Linked DNA regions of Drosophila melanogaster. The protein of the gene in region 1 interacts with the protein of each later gene in a pairwise test. Each region holds a gene or a part of one and is shown on either strand. Other genes may lie near its edges.

Evidence for each region.
Region 2: the proteins of CG15124 (region 1) and CG15152 interact in a two-hybrid assay, tested with the Drosophila melanogaster proteins (one large-scale study listed by BioGRID).
Region 3: the proteins of CG15124 (region 1) and Ufd1 interact in a two-hybrid assay, tested with the Drosophila melanogaster proteins (one large-scale study listed by BioGRID).

Annotation. Positions count from the first base shown.
Region 1 is NT_033778.4:19,639,083-19,646,524, reverse strand, and holds CG15124 (uncharacterized protein), read right to left. Parts: upstream 3,579-7,442; 5' UTR 3,488-3,578; coding exon 2,912-3,487; 3' UTR 2,827-2,911; downstream 1-2,826.
Region 2 is NT_033779.5:18,111,254-18,118,638, forward strand, and holds CG15152 (uncharacterized protein), read left to right. Parts: upstream 1-3,293; 5' UTR 3,294-3,429; coding exon 3,430-3,768; 3' UTR 3,769-3,967; downstream 3,968-7,385. Other genes in the region: CG44476 (uncharacterized protein), read right to left, coding at 1,589-1,817, 1,878-1,882.
Region 3 is NT_037436.4:11,118,548-11,126,353, forward strand, and holds Ufd1 (ubiquitin fusion-degradation 1-like), read right to left. Parts: upstream 4,670-7,806; 5' UTR 4,502-4,669; coding exon 4,375-4,501; intron 4,318-4,374; coding exon 3,494-4,317; 3' UTR 3,435-3,493; downstream 1-3,434. Other genes in the region: mRpL2 (mitochondrial ribosomal protein L2), read left to right, coding at 2,394-2,859, 3,016-3,434.

The sequences.
Region 1 (7,442 bases):
GATCTTAGCCATTGGCGTGAAATACATTGACTGAAAGCCAGTAAATTAAAGAGTTTACTCACTTTTGTTTGAACTTAATAGTGCAAGAATATTCATTAAAGTAAGACTTGTGATTTTCGTTGAGAATTTGGCAAGCAAAGGAAAGTTAAGAAGCTTATGGTGTTTTAAATTAAAAGTTTTAGCATACATTTGTTTAACGTCTGCATATTACCGTAGAAGGTATTTATAACTGATTTTTCATGCGTTCGTCATGAAAAGGCAGTTAAATTTAAATCAACTCTTAATTGAAAACAAATTTCCGTTTGACTGAAAAACCCTTTCAATGTTGACTGTCAGTGGAAATTTAAAATTGTAAAAGTTTTTACATCCCTTATTAATAGTTTTGTTATTTCTTTATTTTTTTGCAAATTGCGAACGTCAGTTGATGAATTGCGTTTAATTGGTTAATGGAGAAATGAATTGCATTCCGATTTCATATGTGCTGGCACTCGGATTTCTTTGGCCATGCTGGAGTCCCAGGCGTAAGCCAATTTTTCACCTTATATAACCAGATTTTTATTACTGCCATATGCCATATGCCAGGGCCACACATGTGCACAGGTTTTGCTTTATCAATTTGAGTTTGTAATTTCCGCATGCGCTTAAAATGCAATTGCAGCTGAAACGGCATTGTTTTACGTTAATATGTGTATCTGTGAGTGGGGGTGTGCACTACTGTGACTACGCCTGTATTTGTGTGGGGACATCTGTGTGCGAAGGCTGCTTAATTGCAACTGTTGCGTGTGCGGCAAATCTTTGGGGTCGCACTGTGCACTCGCCGTGCTCTAATTAAATTAATTGCTTAATTTAAAGTTAATTTGCCACATGTGGCAACCTCTCCTCGTTGTCCTCTCTGGCCAGACAAAGCACGCACACGTGTCCTGGATCGCTTGGTCCTGCCTGCAGACGCTCGAAATCTCTCGGATTGCCCATAAACTGGTCAGCTATATACCCGAAACAATTGCATTATTCCGATGTCGTTGTGCGTGGCTTTAATCGAGTTTAAACCGAATGCACAGCAAGGCCTATACATGCTATTTCAGTTAGCCAAGAGTGCATATCACTGTATGGGCTTTAATGTGCTCCACCTGAAAGTCATTCCATGTATATTCAGCAGATTCCACAAAGCACTAAATCATATTGCTAAGGATAATAGTGTGCTAAAATGTGAACCACTTTGGTGTTTAACGCTAATCAGGGTGAGTAAAATAATAATATAGTCAATATGTAACTTAAATTCAAGCGGTGCCTTTACCACCTAGCAAATTATACTAAGACTGGAATCATTCTCAATTAAGGTGTTTTTTTTAATTGAAATTCGTTTGCTAAATATAATTCATTGTTATCCAATCTCATACATAGATTTTCCGGACACGACGGCAACTTATGCAATTGACAAAAGCCCATCCTGGGCAACTTTGTGCCGGAATCTTTTTGGCAAAGTTGGCTCACACTAATTACCAACATTAGGCCACCTGCACAGACTAGGCACACTCAATTAGCAACTGTAAACTGCAATTTCTATGCTGGCCAAGTGAGTTTTGGCCAGAAACAGCAGCAACAGCAGCCGGTTAGTCCAAGTCTTTGGCAACTTTGTCGTTTTCGTTGTTCGCTGCATTATTTATGCCACCTCCTTGACCTTTCGCCTTGATGTCGCTGCCTGTTCGAGGAGCATAAACTACGCCGGGCCGTTAAATGCGATGGTTTGTCAAATTAAAGCGGTGCCAAGTAAGCTAGAGTAGCTGGGAGAGCTGGTAAAGCGGATGTGGAACCTCCACGAAAACGCACACAATGCAACAACTTTTCCAACCGGAAGTGAAGCAGACGCCCAGCAACTGAGGCAGCGAAAGTGAGCGCGGAATTGGATGTTCGGCTATAACGGATGCGGGGCGCCATCTTGCTGTTGTTCGCAAACATGGCGGCAAAAGCCCAGAGCCAAAAAGCCAATCCCCCCTTCTGACCAACGCACTGCCATCTATGTAGCTTTTGTGACGCAACAATTGCATTTTATTTATTGCATAACTAGCGGTGTTTATGCGTCGGAGAGTGGATAGCAACAAGACGGAAAAAGAATGGGAAACAAGTAAGAGTGGCCAGGACCTGAAATAGAACCATTCTGCCTCTCGTAAAAGCGAATCCCCTTGCATACATACATACATACCCGCAGTTCAGCATAATAATTACAATCGCTATCAGCGCCGACATTTCACGATGAAAAACTGCATTGGCACGCAACCTGTTGTTGGCTTCCTGCTCCGGTTCCCAGCTAACTGAACACTCAGAGAAAATATTAGTAACTTGCCAGCAAATGGTATTAAAAATACTACCTGAACGGGACACGTAACTCAAGACTATTCTATATAGAGTTTAAAACTCTTGGGACATTTTTTTGAGATCTTTTTGAAACCTTTAAAATTTTTTTTGCTGTGCAGCTACAGATTCAACTCCCCAGGTCCAGCTAAGCGCTGGCTAAGAGAGGAGATGCCTGAGCACACTGTCCAGGACCAGGTCCCTCCTTTAACAGGTCCTAACTATGCAAAGCCATGAAACGCAAGTGTCGCAGGGATTATTCATGGACGGGGAATGAAGATGAAGCGGCCAGCGGGCTGTCAGTGACAGGTAAACGGAGAAAAGGGAAACGGAAGGACACGAAGCAGGAAAAGTCGAGGGGGAAAAAAGATTCCTAGGGATAGGATTTAAGAGAGGAGCACATTACTTAAGGCTAATTTCATTGCTGGAAATTCAACTATTCAATCTCGGAGAGGTGTAATAAAACATTTTGTATTTGCTTTCGCGATAAATATTTATTTTCCAGAATAGTGCGATAATAATTGCATATGAGTGAAACATGTAAAGTTTAAAACAGTCCAAATTAAAAAGTCTTTTTGACGCCTTGGCCGGAACAATGGATGTTGCTTGTCTTATTCTGCCTCTGAGTCTTATGCCAATCCATGATAAAGTCTTTGTTGATCTGGGCGACCCTCTCCAAATAGGCGACACTGCCCATGTCGCTGTCCAAAGCCAGGATTTCGCAATAAAGCGAGCTCAGCTTTATATTGCAACGTTCTACGGCGTCAGACAATTCGACTTCTCTGATTTCCGTCTCGTCTAGGAAATGCAATTTAACTTTCTCCTGATTGGTCACAAAACGAGTCCCTGCACCGGGCTTTTTGATCTCCGAATGCAAATCCAGCAGATACTTCTTAAGCTCTTGCAACGCTGCCATTTTCAGAAGAAGTCTGTCCTTTATGACTTTAAGTGCCTTGCGACATTGCTCTGCAGACACTTCCTGGCGTTTGATTAATTCAGCAATAGAGACATTGGAGTTTTTAGGTTCGGACATGAAAACCTTTATACTGTAAATGGGACGGATATTGTGCAGAGTTATGTTCGGTAAGTCCTTGCAGCTGATTAAGTCTGTAAAGTCGAGCATATTGTCGTTATCCATTCTAATTGATATCAAATTTTAACTTATTTTTCTAGCGGTTTATTTTAATAATTTAAATTTATACGAAGTTTCTCAGAAAGCAATATATGCAATGACTACTTTCCAAAAAAATGCTTTGCTATGTGATCGTTTAATTTCCCTTGTTAATTTCGTATATATAACCAATTTTAAGTTTCCTTTTTTCATGTTTCGTCATCAGCAAACGATGAATTTCTATGGATTCACTTTTAAACTTTTTATCCATCGCAATTTTATTTCATTTTTATTTGCGCTTTTTGCGATTTTTATATGCACTAAAAGTCAATTTATTCACTTGACTTAATTTGATTTCAACCTTCAAATAATCCAATAGAGTTTTTGTGCAGTCGTCCTTCACGGTTGCACCTTGAAAAAGGAGTTATTTCTGTTTTGCTGAAAGGATTGTTTACTTAAATGATTGTCAATTTATAAAAAAGTAGGGATCATGATAAAATAAATAATTCGACAACGATTGTTTAAATGTATATTATCTCATACATGTTTTGATTGCATTCTGTGAACAAAAAATTGTTCCGAAAAGCTAAATTAAATTACCTGTTCATCCTTGTATAATATTACTCATACGCAGTGGATGCCCGGGCCATTGATTTAAATTCAAGAAACTCACGAGCAACAGAAGTTCGAGAGAAGCTGCCGCAATCTCAACTGCCTCATTGTTAACCCGCACTCAATTTCGATTCCCAATATGCTCCACATAACCGAGAGTAGGGCTCGATTCTCTATGCCGGTAATCGTACGTGTGGAAAAGACGTCAGCACTGATTGCTGCATAAATGATTGAGCATGTGTGGTTGTGTGCGCCTGTCTTTCAATCCACATCGATGTGTGCGCTTGTGTAGGGCTGGAATGACTTGCCACAGACGAATCCCACTCACTATCAGCATTCCTCCATGCAACAGGACCTGCATCCCAGCGAAAAGGATGGGGTTGCATTATATGAAAATTGATGGGAAATGCCAAAATATTTAAATCTAATTTTGTGCCAGGCTGACAGGCAGCCAGCATTCGCCGAAGCCGCAGGCATTGCATTTGATTTTGATTCCCGTCCAGTTTTGCCAGCGTATTTGGCGACTTTTGCCCTGGCGAGCATTTAAATATTCAATACGATTATATTTTTAAACACGTAGCCTGGGGAAAAAAAGCCCTGACTGAACGACGGTGAAGAGTCAAATGGAAAAGGAAACTTTATTCAAAAGAAAAAATAAGAGAATATTCCTTGATGAAATAGGATTTTTTCTTTTGGAGTCGATTTTCATTTAACCCGATCAGATTTATTTTCATTTTAAATTGCAGTGAATATAGTTCTTTATGGTGCTAAAGATAATTTTTTATGCACGCTCAAAGTCCTTTAAGAAAAATGTTAATCCCAAGCAAATGAAAAATGAAATGACTTCAAAATTACTTGTCATTTTTGTTACATCAATGAGTGTGGCGAGTAAACAAAACTAAGCAATTTATATTATGAGTGTTAATAAAATATTTATAATATTTTATAAAATCTATGGTTATATTTTAAATAATATGTATCATATATATAAAAGGAAGCCTTAAGCTTTCCAGCCATATTAGTGGGAAACGTGTCCACCATTCACGGTCAACCATTTCCTTACGTTTGCTTCCTGACGCGCTTGAACAGAACTTAAAATAGAATTTAAATACCGGCAAATTGTCTGCCTTGGCACCTGTCTGCCCATTCTGCCCAGGACACCCATTGTCATCCCAAGACCCCCGCCCAACACCATTTTTCGGCCATCCAGCCAGCCAACCGTCCAACGATCCAGCGTCATTCGCATTTGCTATTTCCGTTTTGCACGGCCGTGTTGCTGTGTTGGCATTTCATTTAGCGCACAACTTCACATTTGCCTCAGTCGTTGTCTTTCTGCTGCCTTTTCCCATCGCTTGCAATTGCCATTTCCGCTTCCTGAAATTTGCCATTCGTTACACACAGAAGGACACGCCGACACACATACACAGACAGGCACACATACACACACGTGCGAAAAGGGAAGCACTGAAACCGAAACTTAAACAGAAACAGAAGCAGAAAGCCGCTCCCCGCATGCACCGACATTTTCATTTCCATGCTTGGGCGCATCGCAGCGAATCAATTATTCATCATCATCGATTAAGTGGGGGGAGCTATCTGGCCCCCAAACAGCCCGTCGCCCATCCGCCAGCCGCCAACCGCCTCTGTCCTTCCGTCCCGTCACACTTTTATTGTTATGATTTCTGCCGTCTGTAATGGGCACACTTAAAGGACTCCAGCGACCAGGAGGAGCAACAGAGAGCAGAAAAGCGCCAGGATAAAGACAATGGACGGGCTCTCACGTTCGCTGGCTGCTCCATTTCGCGTGAATTTTACCCTCATTTCGCCGGCTTTTCATACGCTGTAATCGGCAGGCAAAAGGAGTATCTAACATTTTGGTTATGCCGATTTCCGGAAATAATATTTCAATTATTTTGTAAATCATTATGGCATTTCACTTATTTTCCTAACTAATTTTTGTAGTTTATAAAACACAAATCGACAAAATTTAAAAAAAATGATCAACTTTTAAGCAATTCTTGTAAGCCAATAAATCACAAGGTAAGCAAAAAAGTCGATACCACTCATCCACCTTCCCTCTTCGTTTTATTTGTGTTGTAATTTTAATGAGAATCACTGGGCCTTGGGCCGAAACTAAAAGCTGAGATTGCCGAACACACACTCGGGGAAATGCCCACATATGTTATGCTGACATATCAATACGGTGGGTTGGTGGGTGAAGTGCCTGTATGAGAGGGGCACATATATATCTACACAAACAAAACAATACATCGAGAACGGAGATGGTGCGGAAAATGGTAGTGGGAATGGGTAGAAGCAGACGGACGGCCATTTCCCTGCCCTCTCATCATGCCGATGTGTCTTGCTCCTTGCGCTTATTTTCGCCATTATCCATTAAATATTTATGAAAATTGCTTTTGCTGCAGTTTTATTCACTTTCCTGCTTCACTTTGCATGCGTCGCGTCGAGCACACACAGATCCTCAGCTGAATGGCAAAGACGAGGGGCCAGTAAAACAATAAAGCTTAAGATTTCAATTTCCTTACGGCTTAAAGCTGACTCTTGGTTTTGGTTTTGGCCAACCCTCCCGCAGCGTCGCTCTCAACCTCTTGTGTGCTATTCCTGGCTCATAAATCCTGGCAGGACATGTGCCTAGATAATCCAACATTATGAAAAAGCCAGGCCACAATAAATATTCGCATCAATGGCGCCGTTTTTAATAGCCAAATCTTAAACGAGCTGCAGGGCTCTCCATAATGAAATATGGCCTCAGAAATGCCAGATAATTCCTTCATACATACTTGTTAGTGAACTGAAATCATCTTGATATTGTAATTACTTCAATAACACAAATATAAGCTACCAAGCTAAACGCTAGTTTTTCCTTAAATAAAGCACATTAAACTCATATTTTCGGGACTCTGATAAGAGAAGCAATTCTAACATTTCTAACATGGGTTGTTATTAAGATGCATTGTACCTTTAATTTCATTACAGTTTAAGATTGACTGTTTTTAAAGACGTATAATAAATTTCAGAGCTTTGTCTTAATTGCATTCCATCTCCAGCCCAGCGTTTTGACCTGGAAATTCTTTTGGTGTCGACACTTGATCCTTTGGCATTCCGGGGCCAATTTCCGCACGCATTTCGCCATTCCGGCTGTTTAACTCATCACCTACCGTGACACCTGGCGATGATTTTCCGGCTGGCACACGTAGCAGCTATCTAAATTTCAATTAGAGTTTAAACCACCCGCACCGGAAGAGCTGAGCTCCCGTGGCGTGTTCCAGAAACCTGGTAACTTCTGCCCCACCAGCCCACTGGAAATAACTCAGCTCATTAGTTGCATGTTCATGTGCGGCAGCATTTT
Region 2 (7,385 bases), on another chromosome or scaffold:
CTGAAAAGCCTGCCTACCTGGACTTTCGTACTTTTACAGTTCCCAAAATTAAAGCGCTAAAACGGACAGATGAACCGAACAGATAGACACGGAAAAGATCCTGATGAATATGCATAAGACACTTACCTGTTACAAACTGTGCAGCGAACGAATCTACTATATCCCTTTACTTTGCGAGTACGGGGTGCTGGGGTGGATTTCAAATGTTCATTGTTCTATAAATATTACTATCCGTATTAACTACCTGATTCAATATAGCTTACAGAGGCTTAGATGTTATTAAGCACGTGTATAACAGACAGAAACAACCAATAGCTTACGGCTTAACATTGGACGCTGCGTCTCGTCCTGATGAATATTCATGATCTCCGGGCATCCTTGCCGACCACTTGAAAGTTAGCCTGCTCTGCAGTTTGTCCGCCATGCCGAAATTATAATTCCAGCTCGCTCGTAACTCGCACAAACGTCAGTCTCATTAATTTTGGGCAAGTTGCAGTTTTAAAATTTAGTGCCGGCCCCCAAGTTAATTAACACCTGAGCCTCGGCAGCCGCCACCAAAGTGGGCGGGAAATGGGCTGGGAAAATCGAGCTGGTTTCAGCCACTTCAGTCACACTTTTGTGCTCGGCAGCCGTGTGCACTGACGCAAAGCGGAAGTGGCACTTTTCCCAGTTGAAGCTGGAGCGGAATTTCAGAATGGATGGGGGGATGGAAAATGGGAGCGGGGAATAAGGAATGGGTAATGGGGATCGGTAGCTGCCAGCAGCAGGCGTATCGAAAACCGAAACTTTTGATGGAAAAAGTTTGCAACAACAAACGCATGTTGGCGGGCAAAACAGGCAAGCTAAAAAGCTGAATAGCCGCGGCAAGGGCGCCTTTAAACCATCAAGTAAGTCGCTATAATTCGCGCGCACCGCCTCATGAATTTTTGATTCTTTCTTAGCATTTTTCACTCCGCCAGTCATTCTATCGCTTTCCATTTAATCTGAGTCTTAGCTTTGAATAATGAGCCCTGGCCAAGGTGCGAAGAACTGGGCCAAACTCGAGGGGGTTATCTATAAGCCGGGTTGATATGAAAAGTTCACACTGGGTAAGTAATTGCCTAATTCGAATGCATCGAAATGATAAAGTGAATTTAGTGTACCTTTCGAAAAATAAAAGTAACAATCTCCCATTAAAAAAACACAAACAGTAGACAGTCTGATTTTCGATATTATTTAAAAGTGAACACATTGTTGCACAATCGGTAAACAAGATCCGGAGTAGATCATCGAGCAAGATGTACAAGTTTTGTTGATGCGCTGAAGGAACTAAAAATGCCACAGAGGCAACTGCGAGTTTTCTCATATTTTTTTCCGCCGACTCTGCACTTTCTTTAAAAACCGCTGACTGATGCATGCTGATGACTTTGTCAACAACTTAAATTGTTTGGTGGCAATAAAGTGGACTGAAGTTTAAGTACATTTAGGACAGAAGGCAGCTTTCATTTTCTTCTAATGCAAACAAGTTAGCCCAGCTAAGCAGGATACATAATGCAATCAAATTAACTAGCGCTTGATACGTACTCAAAATCATTTTAAAATCCCTTTTTTAATTCCATCGTTTGTAGATGTATATGGACAGAACAATTAAAAGCATGCAAAAATTATAAAGAACACATAAGCCAACGAAATTAAAGTTTTGCAAAAAAGTATATGGCCTTGAGTCTTCCTCAGTTAATATTTCCATATTAGAGTCGTTATGAATCGCATCGGTTTGTTCTTGGTCCACTCCGTTGAGGGTGCAACTATCTCTATCCAATAAGACATCTTTTTCTTCACTTTAAATAAACAAATTATCACTTTAATGCTTTTGAAATACTTTCAAATAAGTATTATACCCCATTTTTTTGGAGGCACTCTGATCTTTTCAGCTTGAAGGCTCTGTATAAACTGGATGAAGGCACTCATCTGCAAACATGAAAAAATATTCAAGGGAATCGAATTCAAGAACGGAGGCACACTGTACTAAAATCTTTCGGATCGTATGCAGCTTGCACCATTAAAAATGATAATATATTGACAAATTTTTAAGGGACTACCGTCCTAAGTAAAACTATATAAGAGGTATCTGTAAAGTAAGTCTGAGATCACAAGTACATTCATTAGATAAATAACTAAAATTAGTGTAAGAAAAAATATGAACTAATAAAATAATTATTTAAGAAAATTTCTGAGAGGAGTAAACTCACCATAAGAACCCTAGAAAGGGTATTTGTAAGTAAAAACCAAAGCTTTCAGAGAATTTGACTGAAACTAAGAGACAACATTAAAGAGAACCTCTCAAGACGGAAATATATACAGCTGCGGTTAAAATAATAGCACTACTGGAGGTGGAAAGTTCATTTCCTAAAAATAATTATTAAATGTTTATATTTTTTAAAGTCAGATTGCATGAATAATAAGTACCATATGTTGGCTCTCTGAGCAAGAAATTTATGGTCTCTCAATGTAAAGGTTCTTTTTGTTTTTGGGCACTTGCTGCAAAAGTGCGCGAAATGAGGCGGTAACAAAAATAGCACTGACCACGTATTTGCTGAATAATAGAGTGATTGCTTTGGGTTTTTTTCGACAAATTTTGAAAAAGGAGTTGTATTAAAGGTTTTAATTGAATTTTTTCCAAACGAAGACCAAAAGTTCTCTAGTCATGGGTCGCGGCAAGCATTTTACCGTCGAAAAAAGAAATTTGATTAAAAACATGATCTCTAAAGGTAAAAAATACGCTGAAATTGGTGGCATTGTGGGTTGTTCAAGCTAAATGATCCGCAAAGCACTGCTGTTTGTCGAAAAGAACGAAACACGGCGAAGAAAGCCCTCAATGTCGCTTGGTTAGGCAAGGCAAGAAGGAGCCTTTAAAGCCGGCGACGGAACTGAAGAAGGAGCTTCAGATAGCTGAAAGCGGGGAAACTGACAAAAAAGAGAATCTCTCAAGACGGAAACAGAGTGCCAGAAGTATATAAGTACTGAAATGCCTAATATATGAATGTAAAACATTTATCGCTTTTAATAGATTGTTATCAAAGTTGATAGGGTTTGATGATTCGTAAGTAAGCATAAATTGATAACGTAGAACAAATTGATCTCTCTTCGCAATCTCTTACTTCAATGTGATTTTCTTGTCATTTTGAGACTCTTCTCCGCTCTCGTTTGACGGGTTTTCTCAGACTTATATAGTTATCTTATCTGAGTCACAAGCAACAAAAAGAAGATTGTCAGCTCTTGACGGTTCACTGTTTGCCTTGTTGTTGCCTCAATTACCACCTTCTGCCGTGGCGATAATAACCCAGACCCCAAACTGATTGGTAATCATGAAAAAGAGGGAAGGAAAAAACCGCTGAAAATGCCCGGAGACCAGCGAATCGCTCTTTAGTCGAGAGCAGAACGCGTTTTGAAATGGACACGGATGAGACTAAGGCTGGAACCTCGGGTCCGGGGACGTACCACGATGAGGTTGACTTTACCAGCGGATACGAGACTCAGTATAAGAAGGAGTACAGCCCGCTGAAACCGATTTTTGTACCGCCGCCGGATAAAAAGCACGCCTGGTTTCGCAACTGGTCCACCATACTGATGGTCAGCTTCCTGTCCGGGGTGTTTATTCTGGGAACCGTGATGCTGGTGGTCCAAGTTTTCACCGCCAGTCCCCTGCAGATCTTCATGATCGTGGCTATATATGTGGCTATAGCCGCTGTGATGATTTGGCTGGAGGTGCAGTCTATAAAAGTGCGGTGAAATAATATGTACGTGTCGTGACTAATTTAGAGCGTTATCGCACTTACGAGCTACGTTCTGTTTTCAAACAGTGGCAATCGAACTGTGTTCTGCTAGCAAATGCAAAGCTTAACTAAAAAGGAAGCGGCTTTACTGATTAGGCGCTAAGAACAAAAAATCATGATTTAATATAAGTTCAAAGTAAAGAAAGAAATCCCATAATCCATGTGTTTTATTTTTGACTAGACAGTGCTTTTAACGTTTTCCGATAATTCCGGTTCAATTAACTAATTATTTACGGCCCATAAATGAACGTAATCTAGAGAGCGAAACAAGGTGGCCAGATAAAGGGCTTTGTGTGAGATAAGCAAACAAAAGTGAACGAAAGAATCACGAATTCAAGCCATTTAACTGCAAAATAAATACGCATTTTGTTTGTCGATGTATAAAGGACAAATGTTGTAGTGACACATTAAAGCTCCATACATCACAGAGATTAACAAAGCAAAGTACATAAAAAAGATTCCCTTATCAATTAACTAATTAAATTAAGCACGCTAATTAAAAATTCATTAATAGCGGCTTAGCGATGGAGAGTGGAAATTCAATTATTTAACGCTGTTGTTTATTAAAGGAAGTGTCACAAACCGCATCTGCGCCGGTGTTTGGCACACAAAATTATTAAAATTATTTCCACTCTCACTTGAAAAAGAAAAAATACAACGAATTTTCAACTATGCCAGTTCCCAATGGAAATAGTTCTCTAAATATTTTCACATTTGCATTTTTCTAAATCACTTCTGTAATTGCTTTTCACATGCCACTGCTGGAAAAACTCCGACTCCCTCAGAATTTTCCATGTTTTTACAACAGTTTTCTCACTTGTGTGTGCCATCAAGTTGGTAAAATTCTAGTTTAATAGCTTGAAATGTTACGAACATTTGGTCAGCGTAAAAACAGCCGGACAAGCTTATTTCTCACTTGGAAATTCTAAAAAAAAAAAACGTTGTCCCATTAAACTTTAATTTCCGTTGACAATGGACGACACTTTTTGCTCTTTCCGTTTTTTGGCCCCACTCGAGACGGAGGCAACAGCTGACTTACCTTAATTACTCACAGGATTCCGAGCCGTGCTAATTATTTGCAGGGTGCACTTTTCAGACGGAGTGCAGAAGTCGCCAGCGCATTTAATTATAATGGCGCAAAGGGCGTCGAGCTTAGGCATTAATGCCATTTCCGGTCGCCGACCACCGGATGCCACGGCGCCGAAACCGCCCCGCGGACACTTTGTAATGCCATGGAGCAAAAAACCGGGTTGGAAATGATTTCACAAATAAAAAGCAGTAGCAGATATAACATTTTAATATCAAGGAAATGTCGTTTAAATACATACAACTGAATATTTATCGGATTTATGGCACTACATGCATACAAATAAAGTAATTTCTAGCATTGAGCAAAAGAATCAAACAAATGTGGCTATATTTGTAATTAAGCCCGCCATATCTTAAATCTTAATTCGAAACTGCCTTCAATACATTTTTGAATGTAGCGACTAAGTATGCAGTAGAATAAGGAAAAACGTTTTAACTAAAGGTGCCGCAAAGCGGTGCTTAAACCGTTTTGTGATAAACAACAATACAACCTTGAGCCAAAACAAGAAAAACGTTCGATATGCACATGCATTATTTTGCATTGATTTATTGCTCGATTGCCTGCTGGCTCAATATTGTACATAAAAGGCATTTAAACAAAAGCTGTCTTCCATTTTATTTCTGCCACTTTTTAAATATTTAAATCACAGCATTTTCCACAAGCGGGCAGCACCTCCATTATTCAGAGCTCGTACAAGCCGGGTAAAAAGGACACAAATGAGAAACTCAATTGCAAAGCGAGTGAAGGACAACTGTGGAAATGCAAATAAAATGTTTGGCTGCAACAGAAGCAGAATCCTAAGCTGCCCTCGGGAGCCAAGACATCTGACTCCACAGCCATGTTGGTCACTGCCAGGGGAATGTGTCTTAGAATTTGTTTAAGTAAATCTCACTTGAACGCTTTTCATTAGCCCACTCAGCAAGGACGAACTAGTCATTCCACCAGAAAATATAAAACAAGAATTGAAAGCATAGCTCCACCTAGCGGCGTATTCATGTGCTTTAAAAATTGGCCAGGATAGCAGATTGCTATTTTAAACCCAAACGTAATTTGAATAGATTCTGATCTAGAATAATAAAAACAATCCGACAACCTGATACATACTCCTTTTTTGAATTTAGTTCATTTATTTGACGAGTACCCGATATAAACATCACTTGCCAAAGTATTGCATAAGTCAACAACTAATGTGCAATGTGCGCTAAAAATTAATCGTACATTTCGCAATTAAAATGCACTTTTCACTCGGACACTCTCAAAGGCCACAATACATGACCATATTATGTTAATTATTTGTGTAAATTTTCCATACTTAAGCGACCTGTTTTTTCGCCATACATTATTTAAAACCGACAGTCATACTTTGTATGGCCGCCTTACTTAAAATTTCACCAATATGAATTGAATAAAAAACATCTTTTTTGCTTGTACATTTTAAAGCGCTATATTTCTTTATTTAAGTCCAAGCAAAAAGTTCTTCGTTTTAAATGAAACCAAACGGGAGAAGCGTTTCATCTGTTCCAATGAGCTCTTTCATGTGCTAGCCAGCACCCATTTGAATATTCAATTAAGTCTAACTGGCAATTCAGTGATAAGACCCACGCTGAGTTAGTCGCCACCCCAAAATAAAGCCAACTGAAGGCCATCTAAAATGGCCTTGGAACATGGCCTACTGGTGATAATGTCAGTTAATACGGAAAAGGATGGCACCAAAGCGTTAAGTAGTTAGTGTTTTTTTTTCCAAAATAAACAATTATGGTAAGTTCTTATTAAACTTAAATACACCTAAAAACTAATAATAATTGATCTATGCATTATTATTATTATTTCGTATTTAAGTTGGTTCGTAGTTAGTGTGTCGCATTTAGGCTTAGCTGCAGCGTCTTTGAAGTCAAGTAAATTTGTATTTATTGTGCTGGGGCACAGGTATGTCAAAGCATTTTTGTGACATCTTTTATTTATTTTATAACCAACAAAAGTCAACAGTCGAAAGGAGAGGCAAACAGCATGCATAAATTACCGCAAAGCGGACCGAAGACCAAAGTCCTCTGGATTCTGCTCTTGGTGGCCAAAGCCATTGCCATTGCCATGCAATGCAGAAATTGTGTTGAAATATTAAAAAAGAGGCCAAAACTGTGAGAACTGTGGCCAAATGCAGATGAGCGGCAATAAAATTCTTTCTCCATTCAACTTTTCGGACATTTTTCGAAGCCCCCTTCTTTGGCACTTTTGTTTTTGTATTCTCTGTGCTTTTTTGTATTTGTTGAATGCTAAAAAGGCCACTTTAGTTTTAACCACAAAGTTTGCTTTACTATACGTGTATATGTATGTGCTCGGTCGACCTCGTTGCACTTCTGTTTTTGGCCAAGGGGCATCGGTCTTTCATGTCATTTAACCATGTTTCGGCCAGGACAATCGAGCTGTGATCCTGGGCCCAGGACCTCAACGCAGGCCAGTGTTGATTGCCTGGCATTTAAAGTGTT
Region 3 (7,806 bases), on another chromosome or scaffold:
TCGTCAGCCACAAATTATTTTCCAAATATACACACGCACACACACACACACACTAAGTCACACCGTTGCTGTTTCGGTTTTTGCTTTACTCTGTTTTGCTACCGCAGCCGCACATACACAATCACACCTTTGCACCGCTGTATTTATGTATGTACATGCATATGTACATACCTCGGTCGGCAACAAAAACAAGCGCCGATTGAAGCAACAACAAAAATAATAATAATAATAACACAACTACTACTACTCGCCGCGGAAACTACGTGAGTAAACACACATACACACACTCTATTTACTGATAAATAGCGGGCTCGCGCTTGCGCTCTTTTTGCTTTCCCGGGAATGGAAAATCTCCGCTCTCCAACTCCACACTTATATCGGTAACTCCTCTCTCCACAAAAACGAAACTGAGCTTGCGGCCAGTGTTGCCAACAGGCGATTACATGCCACAAATAGCGAATAAATCATTCAAAGCAGAAAAGAGCTGCATTAAAAAGTTGTGTCCATGTGACACTCGAAGGAAAAGCGCCCGAAAATGAAGCATTGCATGTGTATGTATGTACATGTAACATAAATGTTTCTAGAATGGTATTCATTAGTTGTTTTTTTTTTGTTACCTTTATTTAGTTCCTTTTACTTTTGATCACATTTTCCGGCTAAACAACTAATTTTATTTAAAATTAGTTTTAAAATTTATAAAAATATCTATTAAAGGGACACGTTGTTCTACTTATAAAAGTAATTACATATTTTGCACTAGTTGATTTTGAACACGTTTCGATAGAATGTAAACAACAGGCTATTTGCCAGCCACCACTATTAAAGTTATAAAACCCTTTATTATGCACCTGTGCAACAAATGGCAAACTATGGAATTCGCCGCAAATGCATCATTGTTTGAGTGTTTTAGGAGAAAATAAGTGCACACAGAGGGACTTGAACTTCCATGGCAACCAAAACTTTTGCAGAACGATCTGTATCTTGAGTTTTCTCTGGCAAAGGGGCGGAGGGGGAGCAAAAAAAGGCGACTTCTTTTTTAATGCGGTTATTAACGAACGTTGGCAACACTGCTCCACTCTCTGACTTGTTTGGTTCCACTTGGCACCAACACACGCACATACACTGGAACTCGCGACACAAACACACATGAACGGATTGAGAACTCTCGCACTGGCAGGCCCCACATGGCTACCCATCAATCGAAATCGATCGAGCTTGCATGCATAAACATGCAAAACGAAACCAAAATAAAATTAACGAGAACAACAAAAGGCAAACAAACGCCCATACATACGGTCATATAAGTAAACACACGCACACACACAGCCACATATAGATTTGGCGAGTACATACATACATGCATACATCACTCGTAACGGCAAACGACGAAAGAGAAGCACAATAAATAAATAAAAACACCAAAATACACACAACCACACACACACACGCGCAAACGACGCACGTATATATGTATGTGGCGTATTGGAAATGCGTAAAAAATGCCGCTCGTTGATTTTTCAGCTAGCAACCGACTCCACCTGCGCATACATACATAGGCACGTACATACAAACGACGGATGTCTTGTTTGTCTCTTTGTAAACACACAAAAAGCACACTTTTCACAACGTATAGCTGCTGCTCTTTGCTTTTCGCTCGGCGATTGCGTAAACTTGCCGCCCGCTTTTTTCCCACCTAACATCAAAATATGTACACACACTTGAGGCCACCCATACCTTTACTCCTGTGTGTGTGCGTGCGTGTATGCGCGTGTGCATGTGTGTTGGATGAGCGTGTTCCAAAATAAAAACCTTATATTTATTTATATGCCATTTAGCTGGTTAAGCTGATTTTCCGCTCACTCTGCTATTGATTTTTATTACTACTAATTCTCGCTCTCTCTTTTGCTGTTTATATTTTCGCCGTTGGTTATCAAACTCGAACTGTTTTTGTTGTTCTTTTTTTTCAGTCTTTTTTTTTTGCACACAACACGTTTTTCGCTGCGTGTTTGTGTGTGTATATTATTTTTCTGTTCGTCTTGTTTATTTTTATTATTTTGCGTACCTTGTTGGAAAAAATCGTTGGCTGTTGCAATTTATGAAATCTCTCGATATGCACGTAACACTAGTAATTGGGCAATAATTTAAAGCCGATTTGTGCACTTTTTCAGCGATTTTAATGCGGTTTTCCCGATTCTTATTGCTTCAGCGCGGTGAAGGAGAAGAAGAAGAGATCAGTTCGAGCAAAATGCTGGCAACGCTAGCGCCCGAAATCAGGCATGGCCCGTTCGTGGTCTGGCAACGCCGCGTAACAGCTGTTTTCAGCCGCATTTCGATTTTGTAACAGTTTGCATATATTTTCGTTCTATTTAATTTTTCAAATAAAACTATCGAAAATGCAAAGTGTAACACGTTTGCTGAGCACAACGCTGACTATACAAACGCCGTTTCGCACGGCGCCGGCGTTTCTGCAGCAATTGCGCGGCAAAACCAAAGTGGTGGAGAAACCAAAACCTGGTGCCGGACAGCAATTCCGACGAACCGTGCACTTTCCGGAGAAGTACACCGTTGAGCCGCTGAAGATCACCCATTTGGCTGGTCGGGATCCCGTCTCCGGTCGCTTGGTGGCCAAGGGCATTGGCGGAGGCATCAAACAGCAGTATCGCTGGGTTAAATGGGTGCGGGATGGTCCCACGGAGGGCGCCCAGGAGGAACTGGTACTCGAGGTGCTACGCGATGGCTGTCGCACCGCCAAAGTGGCCCTGGTTGCCGTCGGCGATGAGCTGAAGTACATCCTGGCCACCGAGAACATGAAGGCTGGCGATATCCTCAAGACCTCGCGCTTTATTCCTAGGATTCCGGGTAAATTTACTTACTGTTACTCATCGGGAGTATTAAACGTTTTCTAAGTAATCCTCTGAGTATAGTCTTAAACTGAGCATGGAATCTAGAAATTTTACTGGCTCTGAAACAACCAGTTATGCCAATATAATTTTTTTTTTTTGTATGATCCCATAGTGCGTCCCAACGAAGGCGATGCCTATCCATTGGGCGCCTTGCCCGTGGGCACACGCATTCACTGTCTGGAGAAGAACCCCGGCCAGATGTGCCACCTGATCCATGCCGCCGGCACCTTCGGCACCATTCTGCGCAAGTTCGACGAAAAGGTGGTGGTGCAGCTGCCCTCGAAGCGGGAGTTCGCCTTCCAGCGCACCTGCATGGCGACGGTTGGTCGCCTGTCCAACCCGGAACACAACAAGGAGCATGTGGGCAGTGCCCAGCGGATGCGGGAGATGGGCAATCGACCACGTTCCGGTCTGTGGAAGCGCAAGGAAGGCAAACACGGACGCAAGATACGCCGATTGCCGCCCATGACCACCATATCGCCACCGGCTCCGCCCAAGGAGGAGGCCATCAAGTTGACGCTGCCCCTGTGAGGTTTTTCCTTTAATTTCTATGTGTCACACAATATATAACTAGAACTAGAGATACAGAGCTATTTGCGCGTTTTCTTCATCGAGAAACCGGTGCCGTGGAAGCTCTCCGCATCGGAAGCGTCCGCATTGCCAGCTACGGCATCATCTTCTTGGCTTCTATCACTGATAGGCCGAATGTTGCGATCGAAACGGATGAGTCCAAACTGGAAATCATAGTCTGGAACGCCGCGGGCTAGCACCTTCTTAACGACCGGCGTTTCCAACTGGCTTTCCTTCTTCTTCTTACCATCGAGACGTACGCCGGAACCCTTGAAGGTCTCCACGACCTCTTCGAGTATGGCGTTGGTGGCTCCAGCGATTTCGCCGCCAACAGTTCCAGCAGCACCCTGCTGCCCAGAGCCCGATGCCTGCGTTTCGGAGTGATCCTTGTAGCCGACTGGCGCCTCAAATTCCACATTCATGTCGCACTCAATGATGCTGACTGCATTGCCGGGCTTTGTCTCCAGGACACACAGTTCGTAGACCTTCTTGTTGTACTTAATGGCTATGACATCGCCCCTGGTGAGGCAGGCAAAGTTGCGCAATGCATTCTCCAGCACCGCCTTGGGATTGGTGATGTCCAGGAAGTCGGTGCTGTGCGGTTGAAACTTTGAGAAGGTGGCCACCGGCAGCGAGACACTCTCGATGTTGAGTATGTCGCCCTCACCCAACAGCAGGTTTTCCATCATCCAGTGGGGTAGATAGCATTTGCCCTCGTCGGCCACAAACTCGAGTACGCCGGCATGCGAGGATCGCGATTTCTTGACGTTGGTCAGCTTGAACAGCATTGGATACTCGACATTCAGGCGGGTGAGCGTGTCCAGCGCCGAGGGAGGCATAATAACTGTGGATGGAATGTGTTGTTCACATAATTTCTGTCCAGCCTACACTCGTAACTCACTCTTTCCGCCCTTTTCCACGTCGGTTCGCTCGTTTCCTGGCAACATGGATACGGAGAAGCACTTGTAGTTGGCATGAAAATTGCGTCCCTCCGGGAACATCATGTTGAAGCCGCTGAAGTGGAACATTCTATGTGTGCTGGGCTCTCCGTGCCTATGGATTCTTTTCGATTTAAACTGCCTCAAATGACCCTTTATTTCTCAAAGGGGGGAGGCTAAAATTTTATCTTTTGTTTTATTTTTTTTTCTATTTTGTTTGTCACGGCGGGGGCAGTGTGACCAGAACACCATGTAGACGTAACTTTTTCGCCCACAGGTGGCAGCACTGTGTGGGGTTGCGGCACAAGCTAAGTTGTGGCACGCATATTTCGCTAAAATCCCAAGCGCGTGGCGTACAACAAAAAGTAGCAACTCGAGCTATCGCAGTGGCGAGTTATCGGCACATCTCTAACAAACCCAGCAAGCCGGTGGTTGCGCGCGACTTCGTCCCGCTTAAAAAAAAATTGAATAGACGGGTATATTGATTCGAAAAAGTGCTGCTGATCAAGTGAGTACCCATTTCGGGGCAGCAGCTCCAACTGTTTCCGCTACTCAAAATTGGCTGTCAGCAGCTGCGGTTTGCTGGTCAACTGCACCACTCGATCCTGGCGAGCTTTTTTGTGCGCGCGTGTGTGTGTGTGTGTGCAGGATATGCTGCCTGTATCCTTTTAGTCTGGCTGGCGCCGCGTGTTTTTCGCGTGGGTGTGATAAAAAAAAAGTGTGTATGTCGATGCCCACATGATTGCCAATACTTTTTTCGAACCAAACACACTAAGCAAAAGACCGAAACGAGCAACAAATGCAAAATGTTCGAATAGAAAAATCAATAAGCTGGCCAATCGATTGGTTGGTTTGTTCAAAGGCGGGGTGGTGGCCAAGTGGCTGGAAAAAGTGTTCTCCAGCTTCCAGGTCGAAAGATCTTTTACGACATACAGAAATACAGCAAAATGTATTGTTTTTGCCAAGTACAGTTACATTTTAAATTTTGCAAAACAGTTTGACAGCCACCGTTTTCGTGTGCAGCTGTTTTCGAGTCTCTGTTGTGGTTGTTATTGTTGCTTCGCAGCTGCAGCCACACCAAAAACAAGAACAACAACAGAAACACCGAACAGAAGGTGAAAAGAGCGAGAGGATGCGCACTCTCCCGCTCTCTTGTCTCTTCTGGCAGCTTCCAGACACTCCCCTCGCCATCATGCTCCCCACTTTCTTCGCCTTTCTTTCGCTCTCGCCCTAACTTCCCCACAACAAAGAGCCCCACCCCCCTCTATTGTGAAATTTACCCATCTTTTGTCTTTGTCATGTAAAACGTATTAAAATCGAGAGAATATGAAATTCCAGTGACTCACAAGCTGGCTTCAAATAATGAAGCCTAACTTAAGGCGTCAGTTGCATCCTTGCAAATTTTTGTAAATTCATTTAATAAGCGCTCTATGGCCCAACATATTCCAGTTTCCAAAAGTTTTTACTTATAAGTGGACTCACAACGATTTCTGTTTTTGATTTTAAAGATAACCTCTTTTCGAGAATCAAAATGTTGTTTATATTGCACTTCCGCTAAAAACTTAGTTTACTTTCTGTGTAAACTTATCAAAATTATTTATAAATATTTCTGGGAAAATCCACTTTTCGTTATCATGACACTTGCTTACGCTTTGCAAAGCTAAAGAAATATTGTGAAATGAAATCGCCTGCTCTTTTGAAAATTCAAATTAGAATACAATCGTTTATAGCCAAGTCGCACTGTGATGAGCAAAGTACTAAGGGTAGAAGAAAAACTCCGGCATCTTGTTGTGTACGTACAGTTTTTGCGTCTGGGAACTAAATTTAACAAGCGCACAGCCAACGAAATGGAGCAGCTTTTCCGATAAGCATTTAAACTTTAAAATAGCCCAACGACACAAGCAGCAAAATTCCCAAAAATCTGTGTATACGCATGCTGCAGAATTTCGAAGAAAAAAAAACATTTCGTTTTTCGTAATTTCCGAACATCAGATCTTTGCGCTTACGTCAAGCAAAGAAATTATACATTTTTTGTTTTCAGCACAACGTGATATCACGGCGTGGATTTCGTTTTGGATTGCTCTGGGTCATGAATGAGTTGGTTTGGGTTCAAAGTGGGCGGTGGGTGGCAGCAACCCCGCAAGGTCATAGCGTGTACACACTCGGCGCCGCACGGAGTGAGTGTGAGTGCAAAGTGGACCGATTCCCATTCCGATTCAATGCATCTTTCGCTCGGATGGCACCTGGTCAAGTGTCTCTCAAACTAAAGTTCTGGATTTCCGTTCAGAAATTATAAGAAATGTCCCCTTTTCAACGAGATTCTATTCATGCAAGTGAGAACACCTGCTTATATAAATATCTTCAGAATTATAAAGAAACTTAGATAAACCACCTACCCCTTTGATTTATTTATCATGAGGTAGTTAGTACCCAATTAAACTATGTATAAATAGTTTAAAATAACTGCTTAGCTTTCAATATTATGTATTTTCAAGTGGCTTTCCTAGCTTTACCTACTTTTTACTACTGAAAATAGTAATTCAATCGATTTCAAGCAGTTCCCAGAAATATTCAATAGCCATATTTGCCGGTTGCCAAGTGCCCAAAAAAATGTATTGGATGGGAGTGGAATTTCTATAGGCACACAGCACAAACATATGTACATACATATATGTATGTATATACATATGTATATGTTCATACATTCATATGTGAAATTCGATGAAGCGTTCTATTCATATTTTTTTTGTGCTCACGTTTTGAATATCAGCCGACAAACTCGTGATTCCATTTTCGGATCGCGTGTGATGGAAAAAACCCAATAAAAACAACACAGCTTCACAGTTTAAACTCTTTTATGAATGCCAAGAAGGTCGTCGAATGGAGAGAGAATGAAAGAATAAGAGCAATAGGTAAAATTTGCCAAACGAGCTTCGCACTCACATTTGTTTACTTCCAGAACTTGTACAGTCACACGTGCTAGAAACGTTGGCACACGTACAGTGGTCGCTCTATAATAACGACAGCTAAACACTTAAGATATATGAACTTAATGTGTGTGAAGAGAGCGCGAAAGTTTGTAATAGAAGTCTGCTTAAAGTATGTTTAAAAAATTAAATATTTTCAATTAAACAATTGGGTAGAAAAAGACGAGAATCATGTTTTTTTTTATCATACATTGCAATAGCTTAAGTGCAACTTATGCTTTTAAAGTTATTGTACTTCCTGGAGCTCTAATTTCTCACACATGCACAACCCAGCGTCGTGTGTTTTTGGGTTATTGCAGTTATTCGTTAATTACTAGAGTGGCATCCCCTTTCACACCTGAGCGCGTTTCCAATTGGATTTGGTTTTAGCCCATTGAATGGAAAACGGGCTGATTCATCTGCACAGTT